Danio rerio: one gene and its partner. The protein of the gene in region 1 interacts with the protein of each later gene in a pairwise test. Links are inferred from orthologs where the notes say so. Each region holds a gene or a part of one and is shown in the gene's direction. Other genes may lie near its edges. The genes, in order: polr3c and polr3glb.

Region 1 (3,828 bases):
TCTTTATCAAGACGACTCGTTTGAAGCACTGTGAGTCGACTCTTTTATAGATGAATCAACAGTTTTAAACACTGTACACTTACAGTTTTAAGCCTTAGCTGGATATTTCACTTCACTTAGAGCTGTGTTACACGCTACATGGAAGGACATTTTCAAAAATCCATAATATGGGATCTTAAAAACAAATTTAAATATTGGAAAAATGACCTTTTAAAGCAGTCTAGGCCACGTTCACACTGCAGCCAAATGTGGACCAGTTCAGATTTAATTTGCCCACATGTGACTCGAGTAATGACAGTGTAAACAGCCCAAACTGCATGGAATCAGATTTTTTTCAGGTTAGATTTGTACCACTCTCATATGTAGTCTTAAATCAGACACAGATCTGGGGCCTCATGTATCAACGCTGCGTACGCACAAAAACTTTGCGTACGCCAGGTTTCACGCTCAGAATCGCTCACGTTTGGATTTACTAACGATGAACTGAACGTGGGAATGTGCGCAGCACCACGCTAGCATTATGGCTGGCGTACGCACATTTTTTGTGCGTGTCTGTTTTATTTCCATTGGCGACTCCTAGAGGCAGTTGTGTTAAATTCCTCTCTACAAAGTGTCTGAGCCTTGCAATGGCAGCTGTATGAGACAGGTTCATCTAGCAGGTATATGGTTTCCATACCATACAGTTGACCAGCTAAACATCAAAGCACAATTTGCAGCGGTCGCCTGTTTTCCCAATGTAATCTGAGCTATCTACTGCACACACATTGCTATAAAGACACTATCTGAAGATGAATTCGCATGCGTGAATCAGAAACATTTCCATTCAATAAATGTGCAAATAAAATATGATTCACAAACTTATTAATGATTCCCACTTGTCTTTCTCGTGATAATCTGATATGTAGCGGGGGAAAAAAGAAGAAAGAGTTCATCAGACGCTGGATTCGAACCGAGTTCATGCTCGAACGTGTCAAAACATGTTAACCTGCGTTTTACGAACTGCGCCACTGAGACTGTTGTAGGTACTGCAACATTTTACACCTATAAATCACACTATTTCTTTTTTATTTCACTCGGTGCGATGTTCAGACCCAATTGTGTTAGCCGCATTAGCTAAACTCTCCCACTATATTTTTTTCTTTTGTTGTCAATTCCGGAGAACAAACTTGCAAATAACACCGCTTTTTTCCGGTCTACCTCCGAAAGCAGCACCTCCAATTCACATTCTGTAAAAGGTTTCTCTTTTGGCTTGCTAGCCATTGCTTTTTCGTTGGGTTTTGCCAAAGTATAGTCATTAGCATATTCATACGGGGGAGGAGGCAGGGAAGGGTTTTGTGCTCGTGCATGTTGCGCTCAGTTTCACGTTCATTCGGATGTACAAAAGAATATGCGTGAGATTCGGCGTACGCAGTGTTTCATACATCTGAAATTTTTGTGCGTACGCAATGTTTTAGTATGATTTCCATGCAAGTCTTCGTACATGAGGCCCCTGATGTTTTGCATTGCGACCGCAGTTTGAACAGTTATGTCGGATTTCATGTGACTTTTGCATAATCTTTGAGTGGCATGCGTCATCATTCTGTGCTGCAGACATCATCATCTCCTTAGCAGCATAGTAGAAGGAATACACAGGGCAATTACTTTATCATAGAAAGTTGGTTGTTAATTTTTAGAAACATTTTGAAGGCAAAACTTGTACTTGGTATTGGTAACCATTCTGGATAACGATTGGGACACGGGTTAACCGCGAAGCTGAAGAGTGTCAGGGGTGTTGCGGATTGGAGATCCGTGCACAAAGGAGGGGGCACTTTTTTTTTTAAGGTTGAACTTTCTCTCAGAGAGAAAAAAAAGGGCATGTGCTCAAGCACTCAAACCCCCCTTCTGCACGTGCCTGTTGTTTATGACGAAGTAAAATGAAATAACCTAAACAGGGATAAACCAACTCCACCCTCACAGTTCAGTCTGCAGCTGCTCAACAACCCTTGAGTTCACTACACCATTGGTCCCTTCATAATCTAGCCCCATCCTATCTCTCAGAGCTGCTTCATCTTTACACTCCTGTGAGATCTCTTAGGTCAAGAGAGCAGAATCTTCTTTTAGTTCCACAGTCTGGGCTGAAACTTAGAGGGGACAGAGCTTTCTCTGTGGCAGGTCCTCGGTTGTGGAACACCTTGCCCCCTGAGATTAGAATGGCTCCATTATTATCCATTATTATCCATTTTTAAATCACTTCTTAAAACGTACCTTTTTAGCTTGGCTTTTTAAGATTATTTACATAGTTTGTTCTACCGCAAATTAAAAAAAAAAAATATATATATATATATATATATATTTTTTTTTTTTTTACAGTCATTTCTCTTGCCTTATTTCTATGCTTTTATATTCTGTCTTTTTTTTTTTTACTTTGTTTTATGTACACCACTTTGGTCAGTCTTGTGACTGCTTTTAAATGTGCTTTTTCAATAAATGAACTTGAACTTGATTGGTCAGACAGATGCACTACGCGGTTGTCATAAATCACAAATGATCAGTGTTTTCTATCACAAGTGACTTATTTCAAGACTCAAATGGGGAAATACACATTAGTAGTAGCAGAATAACCCTTTACAGTTCATGAAACACACCACAGTTGTCTGTAAAAAGGGTAATAATCATATGAAGCATGATATGACAACGTGCTTCTTACAGAATACACATTGTGTGAATTATTAGACCTTTTGTGCTGTCCGTAAGTGTACTTTTGCGCATACGGGTCAGTTTAGGATCATGATCTGTTCACACTGCAAATCTGATATTGGCCACATTTATAACAGCAATGTGAACAGCTATGCAAAAAAATAAGATCTGAGAAAAAAAAATCTTATTTGAGCACTCAGAGTGTAAAAAAAAATGCTGCTATATTAATGTGCATATCACACTTCTGGCCGGCCGCGTATGCGATCTAGACTTTACCAAGCCTCGCAGTGTGAACAAAGCCAAAATGAAGCACCTAGTAATGTGCATTTGTCATCAAAAAAATTGTAGGTTTTAATATATTTTGAGTGGGACTTTTACAAAATATCCTCATGGAACATGATCTTTACATAATAATCTAATGATCTTTGTCCAAAAGGAAAAATTAATCAATGTGACCCATAGAAAGATTTTTTTGGCTATTGCCAATAATATAACCATGCAACATAAGGCTGGTTTTGTGTTTGAGGGTCACATGTTTTCTTTTTAACACTGTCCTCCTACTAGGTCAAGAAATCTCTGTGTGTGCTGGTGCAGCATGGGATGTGTACGTTTGGTCCAGGTCGTCGTGGCCCAGCGGGACCTGTGGAGTATCATATCAACTGTGAGCACATCCTACACATGCTCCGTTATCCACGCTACATCTACACCGCCAAGAGTCTGTATGGGGACACGGGAGAGCTCATTGTTGAGGAGATCCTGCAGAGAGGCCAGATGACCATGAGCAGTACAGTCAAGACTGTAGCAGACAGGCTGACCCACAACATGCCAGGTGAGACACTACAACAAATGAAGTACAGAAAAACTTTACTTGCTGAATGTAAAGTGGTCGAAGAAGTGAACTCTGCAAACATCAGGTTACATATACAGTTAAATTCAGAACTATTAGCCCCCCTTTGAGTTTTTTTTTTTCTTTTCTTTTTTTTTTTATATTTACCAAATGATTTTTAACAGAGCAAGAAATTTTTCACAGTATGTCTGATAATTTTTTTTTGGCTTATTGGTTTTATTTTGGCTAGAATAAAAGCAGTTTTAAATAAAGAGAAAAACATTTTAGGGTCAAAATTATTAACCCCTTTAAGCTGTATATATTTT
Region 2 (4,426 bases), about 33 Mb from region 1:
TCTGTTTAACGAAAAGAAGATTTGTTCAACACATTTCTAAGCATAATAGTTTTTTAATAAACATTAACTCATTTCTAATAAGTGATTTATTTTATCTTTGCCATGATGACAGTATATAATATTTGACTAGATATTTTTCAAGACACTTCTATACAGCTTAAAGTGACATTTAAAGGCATAACTAGGTTAATTAGTTTAACTAGGCAGGTTAGGGTAATAAGGCAAGTTATTGTATAACAGTGGTTTGTTCTGTAATCCAAGGGTTCCCAAACTTTTCAGCCCATGACACCCAAAACGACAATGCCAGTGACTCGCGACTCCCAACATCCTCTGAGGTGGTTATAAGTACAGAAACCCATGTCTATTCTTTGTGGAATTAATGTATGTCAGTGCTGTTAATGTGCCAGAAAGTTTAACCTGGTGTTATAAAATCAGTCTGTTACATCTGACGCTATTGCTGTCTTTAACATAATGTAATTACCCCAGGGGTCGCAATCCAATAGAACTAGTAACTAGAAGCTACTATAGTAACTCAATACAGCAGTATATAGTGTATAAAGATGTTAAAATGTTAAATCACTATAAAGATGATTTAGATTTTTCTCTTCAGTAGGTTATGGATAAAATATGGTAATTCTTATGGTTTAATAAAAATAACTCGATTTTTGGAAATAACTAGGCGACCCCCCCCCCCTTCATTGTCGCGCGTCCCCCACTTTGAGAACCCCTGTAGACTATCAAAAAAAAAAAAAAAAAAAAAGCTTAAAAGGGCTAATAATTTTGACCCTAAAAATTTTCATTGAAAAATTCAAAACTGCTTTTATTTTAGCCAAAATAAAACAATTAAGTCTTTCTCCAGAAGAAAAAATATTATCAGACATACTGTGAAAATTTCCTTGCCCTGTTAAACATCATTTGGGAAATATTTTAAAAAGAAAAAAGAATTCTAAGGGGGGCTAATAACAATACCTCAACTGTAAACACACACACACACACACACACACGCATGCACGCGCACACACACGCACTGTGTCTGTGAGTATTATACAATAAAGCCATGAATTACAGAAATATCTATACTGTATGTACACGGACAAATATGTTTCACATATGTAATAAAGTGTTGTAACTTAGTTATAGGCTACATAAACAGTAGTTTTAATAAATAATAGCCAACATTTAAAACAGATCAAAAATGTTTATCAAAATTTGTCCTAAGTTAAAAATGTGTGTTGTTGAATAGTTTTGGAACAACTTTGATAAAGGTTTTGATCCACTTCAAATGTTGACTACAGTATAATAATCTTTAGCATGTGCATCAGCATCTCTGTGAGCAATATGCAAAACATGTAATGAATCCTTACATATTTTGTAATGATTTGTTTGTTTAGCATGATTCACTTTGAGTAGCACTGGTTAACGTTAACTGACGCGAAACGCGGAACCATAAAAGACCGCGCTCATGTTTCTGGCAGGAGTGTTTTCAGAAGCGGGCAAAAACAAACGGGCAGATGTTTGGCGGGTGATTTTATTGCTCAATTTTACATCAATAAAACCTGAAATTACATTAAAAACAACCACGTTTACTGACGGATTAACCAATAAAACCTTTGCACAATGAAACGAAGTTGAAAATAAAGAGGGATTTCGCCGCATTGAGTGAAAGAGGTGTGTTTATATGCTACAGTTCGGTCAAAACAAATAAAACGTTACATTGAAAATAAAACATTTACCAAAAGTACATTTATGTAAAAATAAATATTTTAACATGTTTGGCCTAAATGTGTCTTTTCTAGCCGAATTTAGTTGTTTGATAATGAGTAAACTTATACTGTGAATAACGGATAAACGAGTTAAATAAAGAGGATGTATGATTAATAAATGTGAAATATTTTGTCTCAGATGATGGCAGGAAGGGGCAGAGGGCAGCTCACTTTCTCTGTGGAGATAGTTGGGATCGGTAAAGGTGAAAATCTCCCTCCGTCCTGCATCCAGCCGACACCTCTGTTCCCCGTGAGTCTTCAAGACACAACAATAAAGCCTCGTTTATAAACTGTTATACGCTTGTTATACACTGCTATTATCAAGATATGAGTCAGATTCTGCATTTCATGAGCATAAACGCAGTGCTTTAATAGTTTAATGTGGATGGCGTCACGAGCTACACAGAAATTGCATTGAAAAAACGGTCCTGTTCAACATTCAGCAAACATTACATTTTAAAAGTGTCTAATATCACAACAACATATTTGTTTAAATATTTGTTTTAGAATTCAAATTGTTTTATTGTTGAACACATCATCACAGTATTCCACCTTATTTACCTTAACAGTTACATAATAAGCCACTTACACTCACCGGCCACTTTATTAGGTACACCTTACTAGTTTTGGGTTGGACCACTTTTGTCTTCAGAACTGCCTTAATCATTCGTGGCATAGATTCAAAAAGATACTGGAAATATTCCTCAGAGATTTTGGTCCATATTGACATGATATCATCAAGCAGTTTGCCCGCTAAACATCCATGATGTGAATCTCCTTTTCCACCACATCCCAAAGATGCTCTATTGGATTGTGATCTGGTGAATATTGTGGCCATTTGAGTACAGTGAACTCATTGTGATGTTAAAAAAAAAAGTCTGAGATGATTTGTGCTTTCTGACATGGCGCGTTATCCTGCTGGAAGTAAGAGTAGAAATCAGAATTATCAGCCCCCCTTTGAATTTTTTTGTTCTTTTTTATATTTTTTAAATGATGTTTAACAGGGCAAGGACATGTTCACAGTATGTCTGATAATATTGTTTCTTCTGGAAAATTAAAGCAGTTATTAATTGTTAAATACCATTTTAAGGTCAAAATTATTAGCCCCTTTAAGCAATTTTTTTTCCGATAGTCTACAAGCCATCATTATACAATAACTTGCCTAATTACCCTAACCTGCCTAGTTAACCTAATTTACCTAGTTAAGCCGTTAACTGTCACTTTAAGCTGTATAGAAGTGTCTTGAAAAATATCTAGTCAAATATTATGTGCATCATGGCAAAGATAAAATAAATCAGTTATTAGAGATGAGGTATTAAAACTATTATGTTTAGAAATGTGCTGAAAAAAATATCTTTCTGTTAAACAGAAATTGGGGAAAAAAATAAAAAAGGGGCTAATAATTCTGACTTCAACTGTATGTTTTTTTTATTTCAATTAACATTTTTATTACAGTAAAGAAAATAATTTTATTGCCATTTTAAGTGTCTGTAGATGTCTCTGCCATAAAGACAGTACATAATATTTGACTAGATATTTTTCAAAATACTAGTATTCAGCTTAAAGTGACATTTAAAGGCTTAACTACAGTAGGTTGATTGGGGTTTATTAGACAAATCATTGTATAACAATGTTTTTTTTCTGTAGCCAATCGAAGAAGAAAAATTTTCTTAATGGGGCTAATAATATTGACCTTTAAATGGATTTTATTCTAGCCGAAATAAAACAAATACGACTTTCTCCGGAAGAAAAAATGTTATCAGACATACTGTGAAAATTTTCTTGCTCTGTTGAACATTATTTAGGAAATATTTTAAAAAAGAAAAAAATCATTCTGACTTTAGCTGTATGCCCTATTAAAAGCTGATTTCTGTCTTGGCATGTGTAAATGAGTGACAGCAGGTGTTTGTGTGAGCAGCAGACAGATGTGAATGTGCTGTTTGATGTGTTCAGCCTCTGGATCAGAAGCCAGTGCCCCTGCAGGCAGGTGAGGAGGCCGAGTACATGCTGGCCCTCAAACAGGAGTTTAGGGGAGCCATGAAGACGCTCCCGTTTTACATCCGTCCAGCGGCTCCCAAGAAAGGTCAGTTCAGAGCCCAGGACTAGCTCTTTACTGACATCTTTAAAGGGCTTATATTATGCTCATTGTATCATGTCATTTTTTTTTCGAAATTACATAACATGCGATTTCTACACTTTGGCACATATGCAATCCTTTTTTTCTAATCCTGAGTCTTAATGCAATTATTGTAAATAACATTTAAAGGTGCAAATGTTTAAAGGTATGTAATTTGACACCCAGTGGTTGAACTAGGAATTACATTCCAGAATCAAAACATATGCAAGTGCAGGTTGCCAGATGACCAAGAGGAGCGAGTCTCAAGCCTAATGTAAACCGTGTTCAGTATAAAAGCAACGGCACGTGATAGAACAAATATTTTCCATATTAAAAGGAGTTTTTGTCCTAACCAACACCTCGAATTGATATGTTAGAAACGGCTTTTATTTCACACAGGCGAACAACAGGAAAACCTGACAATGATCACCTCATGTAGTTTATTCAGTGTTAAAAATGAATTTTATGTGATTTTCAGGTTTTTTATTTTTAATAAATTTGCAACAGTTTGAAAAAATATTTTCTCACACTGTCATTAAGGGGTATT

The links.
Region 2: the proteins of polr3c (region 1) and polr3glb interact in binary tests that used the Homo sapiens proteins (3 or more experiments, as listed by UniProt). The link is inferred for Danio rerio from reciprocal best matches to the Homo sapiens genes POLR3C and POLR3GL.

Annotation. Positions count from the first base shown.
Region 1 is NC_133191.1:14,595,818-14,599,645, forward strand, and holds part of polr3c (DNA-directed RNA polymerase III subunit RPC3), read left to right. Parts: intron 1-3,240; coding exon 3,241-3,505; intron 3,506-3,828. UniProt on the Homo sapiens protein: DNA-dependent RNA polymerase catalyzes the transcription of DNA into RNA using the four ribonucleoside triphosphates as substrates.
Region 2 is NC_133191.1:47,264,634-47,269,059, forward strand, and holds the start of polr3glb (DNA-directed RNA polymerase III subunit RPC7-like), read left to right. Parts: upstream 1-1,473; 5' UTR 1,474-1,668; intron 1,669-1,902; 5' UTR 1,903-1,905; coding exon 1,906-2,013; intron 2,014-3,716; coding exon 3,717-3,846; intron 3,847-4,426. UniProt on the Homo sapiens protein: DNA-dependent RNA polymerase catalyzes the transcription of DNA into RNA using the four ribonucleoside triphosphates as substrates. Specific peripheric component of RNA polymerase III which synthesizes small RNAs, such as 5S rRNA and tRNAs.